2 linked regions of the Ovis aries genome follow. The protein of the gene in region 2 interacts with the protein of the main gene of each other region in a pairwise test. Links are inferred from orthologs where the notes say so. Each region holds a gene or a part of one and is shown on either strand. Other genes may lie near its edges.

Region 1 (4,568 bases), on a different chromosome or scaffold from region 2:
TTTTAAAAATCACCTAGGAAAAGGAGAGAAAGGATTGCTAAAAGGTGGGCAGTGCCTTGGGACACATTAAACTTTTGAGGTTCCCAGTGTACTGAATCTTGAAGAATGCCAACATGGAGTGTTAAAAATTGTGGAAATGAACACCTTTTTGGGCATACAAGTGCAATGCGATGTTAAGTGTGCTCTTCCTTAAATAATTACAGGATGTAGAGAAATATTGCTATGACCACGAGCAGTGGTGTGGTCAGGAATGGGATTTAAGTTTAAAGGTGTTTGAAGAATGTCACCGTCTTTCATCCTATTAGTGTGTCTCTGTGAAAGTAGGTCCAAACTGATTATAGACATATGAAATGTCTAAGACCCTTTATAAAGTGAAGTCAAGGCTTAATTCTTCTTCTAAACACTTCTCCTCCCCAAGATAGGACAGATCACAGTTTGAAGTTTTGGCTAGGCCACTCTTTTACATAGAACATTCTAGCATTGGGACCATCTTGTGCGAAGGCTCAAGGAAGGACCTGGGAAAGAGCATCCTGTCTTTTCCTGGACTGGGAATATTTCCTCCATTGCTTTGATAGGCAAGTTGAAATTAGTTAGCCCTTGCTTCACCAAATTGCACCAGTAGTTTGTTTAATATATGTGGGTGTGAGCCCAGAGGAAATATGGTGTAGTGGAAAAACAATGGGATTGAAGCCTGAAAACTTGTGTTTGAGCTCTTGCTCTGCTACTTAAGAAATGTTTAACTTTAAGCCTATGAAGCTTGCTTGCTCATCTGTGCTATGGGAAAACTCATACTGACCTTGCAAGGTTTCGGGGAGGGCAAATGACATGATGGTACATACCCACTTTGTAAACCATAAATAGCTATAAAAATGTGAGCCATTATTATTTTCCAAGTTCCTCTTTGTTCCTGCCCACTTTTCCAGTTTGAAAAGGTCAGTTTAAATTCTAAAGCAGACAACCAACAATTTATAAGTGAATTAACTTCTAAAAGTTCACTGTTTTAGTTCTGAAACACTTGAAAACAAGGCTATAAATTGTAGTTAAGTTCCCAGTCTAGCTCATTTACTACTTTAAAAAACAATATTTCATTTGAAGTAAATTTTTAAAATGTATAAAATGCAACTATTGCAGGAACAGATGGAGGGCTTAGAACTTTTAGAAGCTTTAAGAAACTTTTAGACTCTGGAAGTTTATCAGAGAATTGGAACAGGAAAATAAAAGCTAAAGGGAATTTATATGCACCTATGAAATTGTATATAGAATGAGATTAACTGAGCTAGGAAAGATGTAAAGTGGGAAATGTGGGCTAGGAAAGATGTAAAAATGGAGTCTAGGAAAAATGTAAAAATGGGAAAACATTGTGCAGTTTTCCTAAGGATTAACAGTAAAGAAGTAGCTGTGAAGATGTAGTGGTTCCGGTTTGATAATTACCCACAGTGCCCACTAGGTGGCACTGTTGACTAAATTGACTACAGCTTGGTTGCTGTTGGGGAACTGAATGAAGTGGGTGAGAAGGCTGTTGGTGGCTTTAGAACAAGGAATAACTACATATTTTTTCTGTACTTTTCCTTTACATAGGCCCATAGACACCATTAAAAACTACCCCTACTTTTGATTAGTCTACTTAGGAATATTTGTTGCATTCTGTGTCAATTTCTTTTGGGAGAACTACTTCCCTGTGGCTCAGATGGTAAAGCATCTGCCTGCAATGTGGGAGATCCAGGTTCGATCCCTGGGTCGGGAAGATCCCCAGGAGAAGAAAATGGCAACCCACTCCAGTACTCTTGCCTGGAAAATTCCATGGACGGAGGAGCCTGGTGGGCTATAGTCCATGGGGTCGCAAAGAATTGGACACGACTGAGCGACTTCACTTTCAGTGCTAAGTAGAAATGATCCCCATCCTTTATGAGTTTCCAATCTAGTAGAGGAGATATATGTGTATAAAATAATTTAATTAAAAATTATTATGTGATAAGTACCAGAGAAAATATAAAGCGCTCTTGGAATTCAGTAAGATGAAGCAGGAATTTCTTACTGATCGTGGAGACAATAGTGGGCGATAGACACTTGGGTGAGCCTGTAATGAGGAGATAACATTACAGAGAAAACAGGGAGAGCAAAGACATAGAGATAGAAAACGGCAGGATGTGTCTGCAAAGCAGTTTGGCTTGGCCAGATTATAGGGTATCGGGTGGGCGGTACTGGAATGGGGATGGAGGTTGTGGGTGCCTTTGCCTGGTTTTCTCCTCCCCTTCCCCCTTCCCTGTGTGAATGCAATTCTCTGGAAAGGATTTTTAGGATCTGCCTCATATATTCCCGTTTCATATTTGCTGTAGTAAGTTTTCCAGGTTTGCCTGGTGCTTGTCTAAAGAAGTCTGTGTGAAGAGTTCTAGCTCTGTTAAAAGATATCAAATTTGGTCCCACTGAACAATTCCAGGAAAAAAGCTTTCAGCTCCCACATGCTCTTAGTCTTGTGAAAACAACTGATACTCCCCATTCTCATTCTTAGCTTATCAGGTGGAACTGGGAAGCCCAAGGAAAGAAAAATTTAGAGGCTAAATGTTCTTTGTCCCAGTGAGAGAAACGTACTTTAGCCTTTTAATCTGTCACTTTGCCCCAGGTCTGCTTCCATCACGGCTACCAAAGCGACCAGTCCATGGTTCTAGTCAGATCCCCCTTAAAAGTATTTGATGGCTTTCCTTTGCTGTCAGTGCAGAGTTCAGATTCCGCATTATAGTATCTGGGGTACGTTCCTCTCTAAGCTCCTCTCTAAGCTCCAGCTGGCCATTCCACAGAGTAGTGATCTCAGGAGACCCTGGGAAAAGTAAGAAAAACCACCAGTTGGGTTCAGATTTGGATTCTCGAACTGACTCTGTTACTGTGTTACTCTCAGTTCTTCCATTGGGTCATCAGTGTTTAAATTCCTACTTCTCTCTTTACCTCTTCTTGGCCCCCTAGACTGCAAGCACTATGCTAGTGGGTGTTGTGTCTTACTTGTTGCTAGATCCCTACAGCCTAGCAGTGTCTGGAATGTTGGGTGTCAGTGAATAAATGCTCTAGGACTCAGGAGGTTTCCATTAATGCAGGTGTCTTGGGGGGTGATCTCCTTTATCCTCTGAGATTGTTTATTCATAGAGGAAAATGAGATAGCAGTGACGTGTTCTGGGAGCATTGCCTCTCTGCTTCCCTTCCTAGTGCCTGCCACTGTGGACATGCAGCCCAATCCATGGGGCTTCTCATTGGCTCAGGGCCCCACTCCCAAACTCATTTGTGCAGGGTGAGCCCCAGAGCCCCTTGCTTGAGTGTCTGCCCAGTGCTGGTCGCTGGATGAAAACCTCTCTTGTTCCACTCAGCACAATGTCACCATTATAGCCCCTATCCAGGGAAATGACACATGGCTGTTGGTCCACCCTGGGCCCCAGAAAGCAGATAGAGGTCTGAGTGGTGGCTACTGGGGAAGGAGAGTTTCATGGCTGGATGAAAACCTCTTCTTTCGTTGCACTTTCTGGTTTTTGTTCCAAGGCGCCAGGTTCCTACCTGCACCCAGGCCACAGGTTCGGTGTCAGCTGTCACAGAGCCCAGAGCACAGTTGTGTCTGCAGGAAAAGGAGCGTTTGTTCTTATGCCCCAGTGCTGCACATCCCCACCCCTAGGATCCTTCAGGAAAAGAGCACCGTTGGCTCCTTAAGTGAGGCTCACAGGCAGAAGTACCCTCAGGACCAGTCAGGGGAGGTGTGTATATGAGCTGACCGCCTGGAAAAGCAGAGCACTCTTGTTGCATCTGAATGCCAGGAGCCAGCAACTCAGTGCAGTGTGGCCAGGGGAACATGGGCCTGGAGTGGCCAGCTCTTCAGACTTTTCAGGAAAATCCAGGAATCCAGATTTCAGCTTTTGATTTTAAAATATTGGTAAACAAGTCCAACTGTTTTAAAACATTGCAGGGGCCAACTAAAATACCCCTGTGGGCTTAAAAGTGGCATACAGGAACCCTGAGAAAAACTGTGGCCTATGAAGACTTAGAGAGTCTGTCCAGCTGGGTGCCTCTACCTGGGGGCCAAGGTGATGCCCATCTTTTAACCCTGCAGCAGGGACTAATTCTCTTTTGAAAGGGTGCACTGCCTTTCCCCTCTTCATCTCTAGCATGCAGGCTGATGCCAGGGTGCAGAGTGCAAAGTGAATTTCTTAACCTTGGAACTAGAAGAACTTTAGAGCTGAGAGGAGCCCAGGACTTTAGCCAGGCTGGTCCCTTTGTTTGTCCAATGAGGACTGAAGCCAAAAGGGGAAGAAAGCTTGCCTGGAATCACAAAAGATCTCAGAGGCAGAATTGGGGAGTGGTGCCAAGGGCTCTAGACTTCTGTGACATACAGCTGTGAAACCTTGAATGAATTATGTATTTAGGGCTCAGTTTCCTCATCTGTAAAATGAGAATGAAAGTAGTACCCAGAGGATTAAGTGAAGTTTGTAAAGTGCTTAGTGTAAAAGTACAGGTTATTGTAATCAAGGTGCATTTCCTCTGGAAACATTGTCAGATGCTTATGGAAATATTAAGGAACACTGAACTCTCAGCCG
Region 2 (3,542 bases):
AAGTCTCTCAATGCTGCTGTGAATAGTAGCAGTCCTCATAACTCTGATGTGGGCAGAGAACACTCAAAATAGTAGATAGCAGATGCTGGCCCCACTCAGAATTGCTTACGCCTATTTGTGCAGACACTCCCTTGCCATTTTTGCTCAGATCTTAAGATCTATCACAGTCATGACAAAATGATGACTCACACTTAAATGCAGTCATGTCATATGCGATATTAATACCCTGGTGACATTGCCGTAAGTGCCATTCCTTTAAGGGGAAATGGTTCCTGACAGCAGTCTGCCACCATCCTCAGAGACCACAAAGGGCAGTGCCTGCAGAAGGCAATGCTCATTGTGCAGGAAGGAGCTGCCTGCATCCTGCAAGCTGTTCCCATAAGCAGCTGTTGGAAGGGAGGGGGTGGAGAGGAAAGAAGGGGGAGGGGAGGGAAAGGTCTCTGCTATCGGGTTGGATGGCCAGCTGCTGCACTGATGTCTTATCCCAAGTATGCTCCTGTCTTGCAAGTTTAAAAATTTTCCTGAAGGGAGAGAAATAGGAGCAGGGCTCAAGTTCTGCCCTAACACCCAGCCAGCGTCCCCTCCCCCACTTCCAGCACCCCAGGAGCCTGCCATTCAGCGCCAACAGGAAGATGGAACAGGTGCCATGGAGTTCCGTAAATTTCAGAAATCAGCAGCAGTCCCGCTGACCACCTCCCCCACAGACAAAGATACCCTGCCCTCAATAAAGAGAGTACGTTTGTTTCAGTTAAGTTTATTGTAAAACTCAAAGCTGCAGCAGCATAATCCTTTAGAAAATGAAGCATCGCCCGTATCCGTTTTGAAAACAGCAGTGCATACTGCTCAAGTCCGTCAGAGCTCCTGTAACCGTACAAGTCCAAGCCGCCTGGACTTGCCTTTCCCCTCCTTTCTGCCGGGAGTACAGGCTGCTGAGTCACGCCTGCCCGGCCAGTCTGTCCTTCCCGGCCGCGCGGCCAAGGTCCCGCCTCCGGCCTTCCTGGGCGAGCAGCCGCTCCCCACACTTGTAGAGTCCTGGGTTGGGGCCAGCCTGCCCCTGTCGCCGCCGGGCCCCTCCTCGGGAGGGAACCGCACCTCCTCGCCGCTCTCCACGCGCCCCCGCCTGCCAGTCTCCACGCCGCACTCCGGCGCCCTCCGAGGGCGCATCCACAGAGCCAGCCCCGCGCTAGGCGCCCCGGGGCGTCACCACGTCGATCAAACCAAGGATCCCCACGGGGCTGTCACTCGGGAAGGGTAATATTGGGCACCCAGTCGTTGACGCTGCGGCTCTCCTCGCAGAACAGGCTAAGCTTCTCCAAGGCGGGGTCCTTCCATGCGTCCTCATTGGGGTTCTGCAGAGAGAACGCAGAGGTCAGCCTGGCTGGGCACTGGCTGCTGACGGGAGAGCGAGGGGGCAGGGATCACATCGGCACGGAGGCGACACTCACCGAAATGAGGATACAGTGCAGGTCTCCAGGTGCCCCCGACTCGTCACCGGTACCCACGATCGCCGCCAGCCGCTGCACGTCGCCCACGCGCACGATGTCTATGTCGTTCTCACAGCAGAACGCTTGGATCAAAGTGAAGTGGATCTGCAGCGCGATATCGCCCTCGTCCTCCTCGTCAGCGGCAAGCACGCAGAAGGTCACATTGTCGGGGTCCCTACGCGGGCGAGCAAGAGGTGGTGAGATCAGGTCGAGGAGCCAGGGGCGCCCCCAGCCACTGTCTCCCCGGTCTCCCTGCCGCTCCTCCCACGGGCCGCGTTTGATACTCACACGTTCAGGACTTTGGCTGACTCGTAGACGCCGGCCGTGAGGCAGCCTTGGCGCTGCGCAGACAACAGCAGCTCGTGCAACGCTTTCCCGGCGCCCTGCATCCTGTGGACAAGCCAGCACGGTGAGCCGGAGGGTGCCCTGAGATCCCTGGACCCGGAGACGCACCCCCAGCGCCCCAGCCCGGCGCGCCAGCCCAGGCGGCCGCACCTTCGGCCCAGCCGGCACACTCGCGCCCGGCTTCCACCCAGCGGGTTCCCAACCCAGCCGGTTTCCACCCAGGCGGGCCCCAAAGACTATCGCCCAACCAGCGCGGCCAGGGCAGGACGAGGGTCCCCGCGCGCCCCGAGACGTCCGGAGTTAGGCGCCGACCTACCTGGCTGTGCTTTCTGGAACCGTGTCCTGGCCACGAACTTCTTCCAGAGTCATATTGCGATCTGCGAGCAGCAAGTTATCCACAAGAACAGAGGGCGGAGCAGACGCGAGCGAAGAAGGAAAGTCTGCGAGCAAGCCTGGTGAGCCCGCTGCCGGCGAGTAAGCCGGAGCGCCGCCTTGCGCCCTTATATAGGCTGAGCCGGGTGGCGCCGCCAGCTGGCGCGAGCCTGCGAGCCCATTGGCCCGCGCCCGCTTTCTGATGCAAATGAGGCGGCTGCCCGCGGCTCGTGCCAGAAGGCCACGTGGGGAGGGGTGCGGGGGATGACAATGCCTCAAATCTGCCGCTTTTGTCGGGGTGTTACCAGGCAGACTGGAGCCTGCAGATTTCATCTCGCCTTTTTTTTTTAAGTCCTTAAAAGGAAAAAGTTACGGGGGGAAAAAACCCTCACTTGTTAACAGTACGCTGCAATTTGTGAAATGCACCTTTGGGGAAATCTAATGAATATTTTTTTTGCATTTATTTTTCTTGCTACCTTTTCTATTTTTTTCTTCACTTTTAATTTGGAGTTTCTGAAACCATTTCTTCTAAACCGGAACTTAAAAAACAGGCTGCGCTGGCTAAGCTAGCTAAAGGCCTGAAAGCAGCCCTCTCCAGCTGACACCAGAGCCCCGAGCGCGAGGTTCTTCTAGCACAATCAAGACCCGGACCCGGTCGCGCTGCAAAGTCTAGCCAATCTCCCGGCCCGCTACTAAGCGCTGCGGGGCGCCAGGGCGCGCAAGCAGATTGCGGCCGGAACACGCGGCTCGTTTGCATTTCTATGCCGGGTGCACAATAGCAGAGGTCTGGCGTGTGGCGGTTTGTAGGAGGGACAATTGAAGCTTTCTCTTCATAGCGACACTGTCCACCTGCCGCTGGGTGGGGTGGGAGAGCCCCGCCGCGCGTGGGGGTCACCGGGCTGCTCGGCGCGTGGTGGGTCGCGGCCGCGTGGGGCTCCTGCGCTCCTCAATGCGCGCCCCCTGCACCGGCCCCGCTGCACCCACCACACGTTTGCATGAAATTCCGCCCCAAAAGGTTCTAGCGCACGTGCGGAGCAGCCGTGGAAGTTGGAAGGAACACCTGGCTGCTGCACCTTCTTCGCAGCCGGGTGGGGACCCCAAGAACTTTGGGAACTACGCTTGGAATCCCTTTCCCGGGGCGCCATCTACAGGCCGACGGGAAAGTTCCTGAGCACCTCTCCCCCGCACTTCCATTGACATACTGTGGGGACTTGGCCTTTGGCCCTCTGATCAAGGAGGGGCCCAGGTAGAGTCAGCTGAGCCCCATCTAAGCTACATATTAATGGAAGTCAAAAACTGCAAAACCCAGATGAAGACAAAAGGAGACTCCAATCCAGTACT

Evidence for each region.
Region 1: the proteins of GADD45G (region 2) and AFAP1L1 interact in binary tests that used the Homo sapiens proteins (3 or more experiments, as listed by UniProt). The two-hybrid records come from large-scale screens. The link is inferred for Ovis aries from reciprocal best matches to the Homo sapiens genes GADD45G and AFAP1L1.

Annotation. Positions count from the first base shown.
Region 1 is NC_056058.1:58,444,433-58,449,000, reverse strand, and holds the start of AFAP1L1 (actin filament-associated protein 1-like 1), read right to left. Parts: upstream 2,997-4,568; 5' UTR 1-2,996. UniProt on the Homo sapiens protein: May be involved in podosome and invadosome formation.
Region 2 is NC_056055.1:24,393,954-24,397,495, reverse strand, and holds GADD45G (growth arrest and DNA damage-inducible protein GADD45 gamma), read right to left. Parts: upstream 2,306-3,542; 5' UTR 2,199-2,305; coding exon 2,146-2,198; intron 1,875-2,145; coding exon 1,773-1,874; intron 1,660-1,772; coding exon 1,446-1,659; intron 1,350-1,445; coding exon 1,239-1,349; 3' UTR 739-1,238; downstream 1-738. UniProt on the Homo sapiens protein: Involved in the regulation of growth and apoptosis. Mediates activation of stress-responsive MTK1/MEKK4 MAPKKK.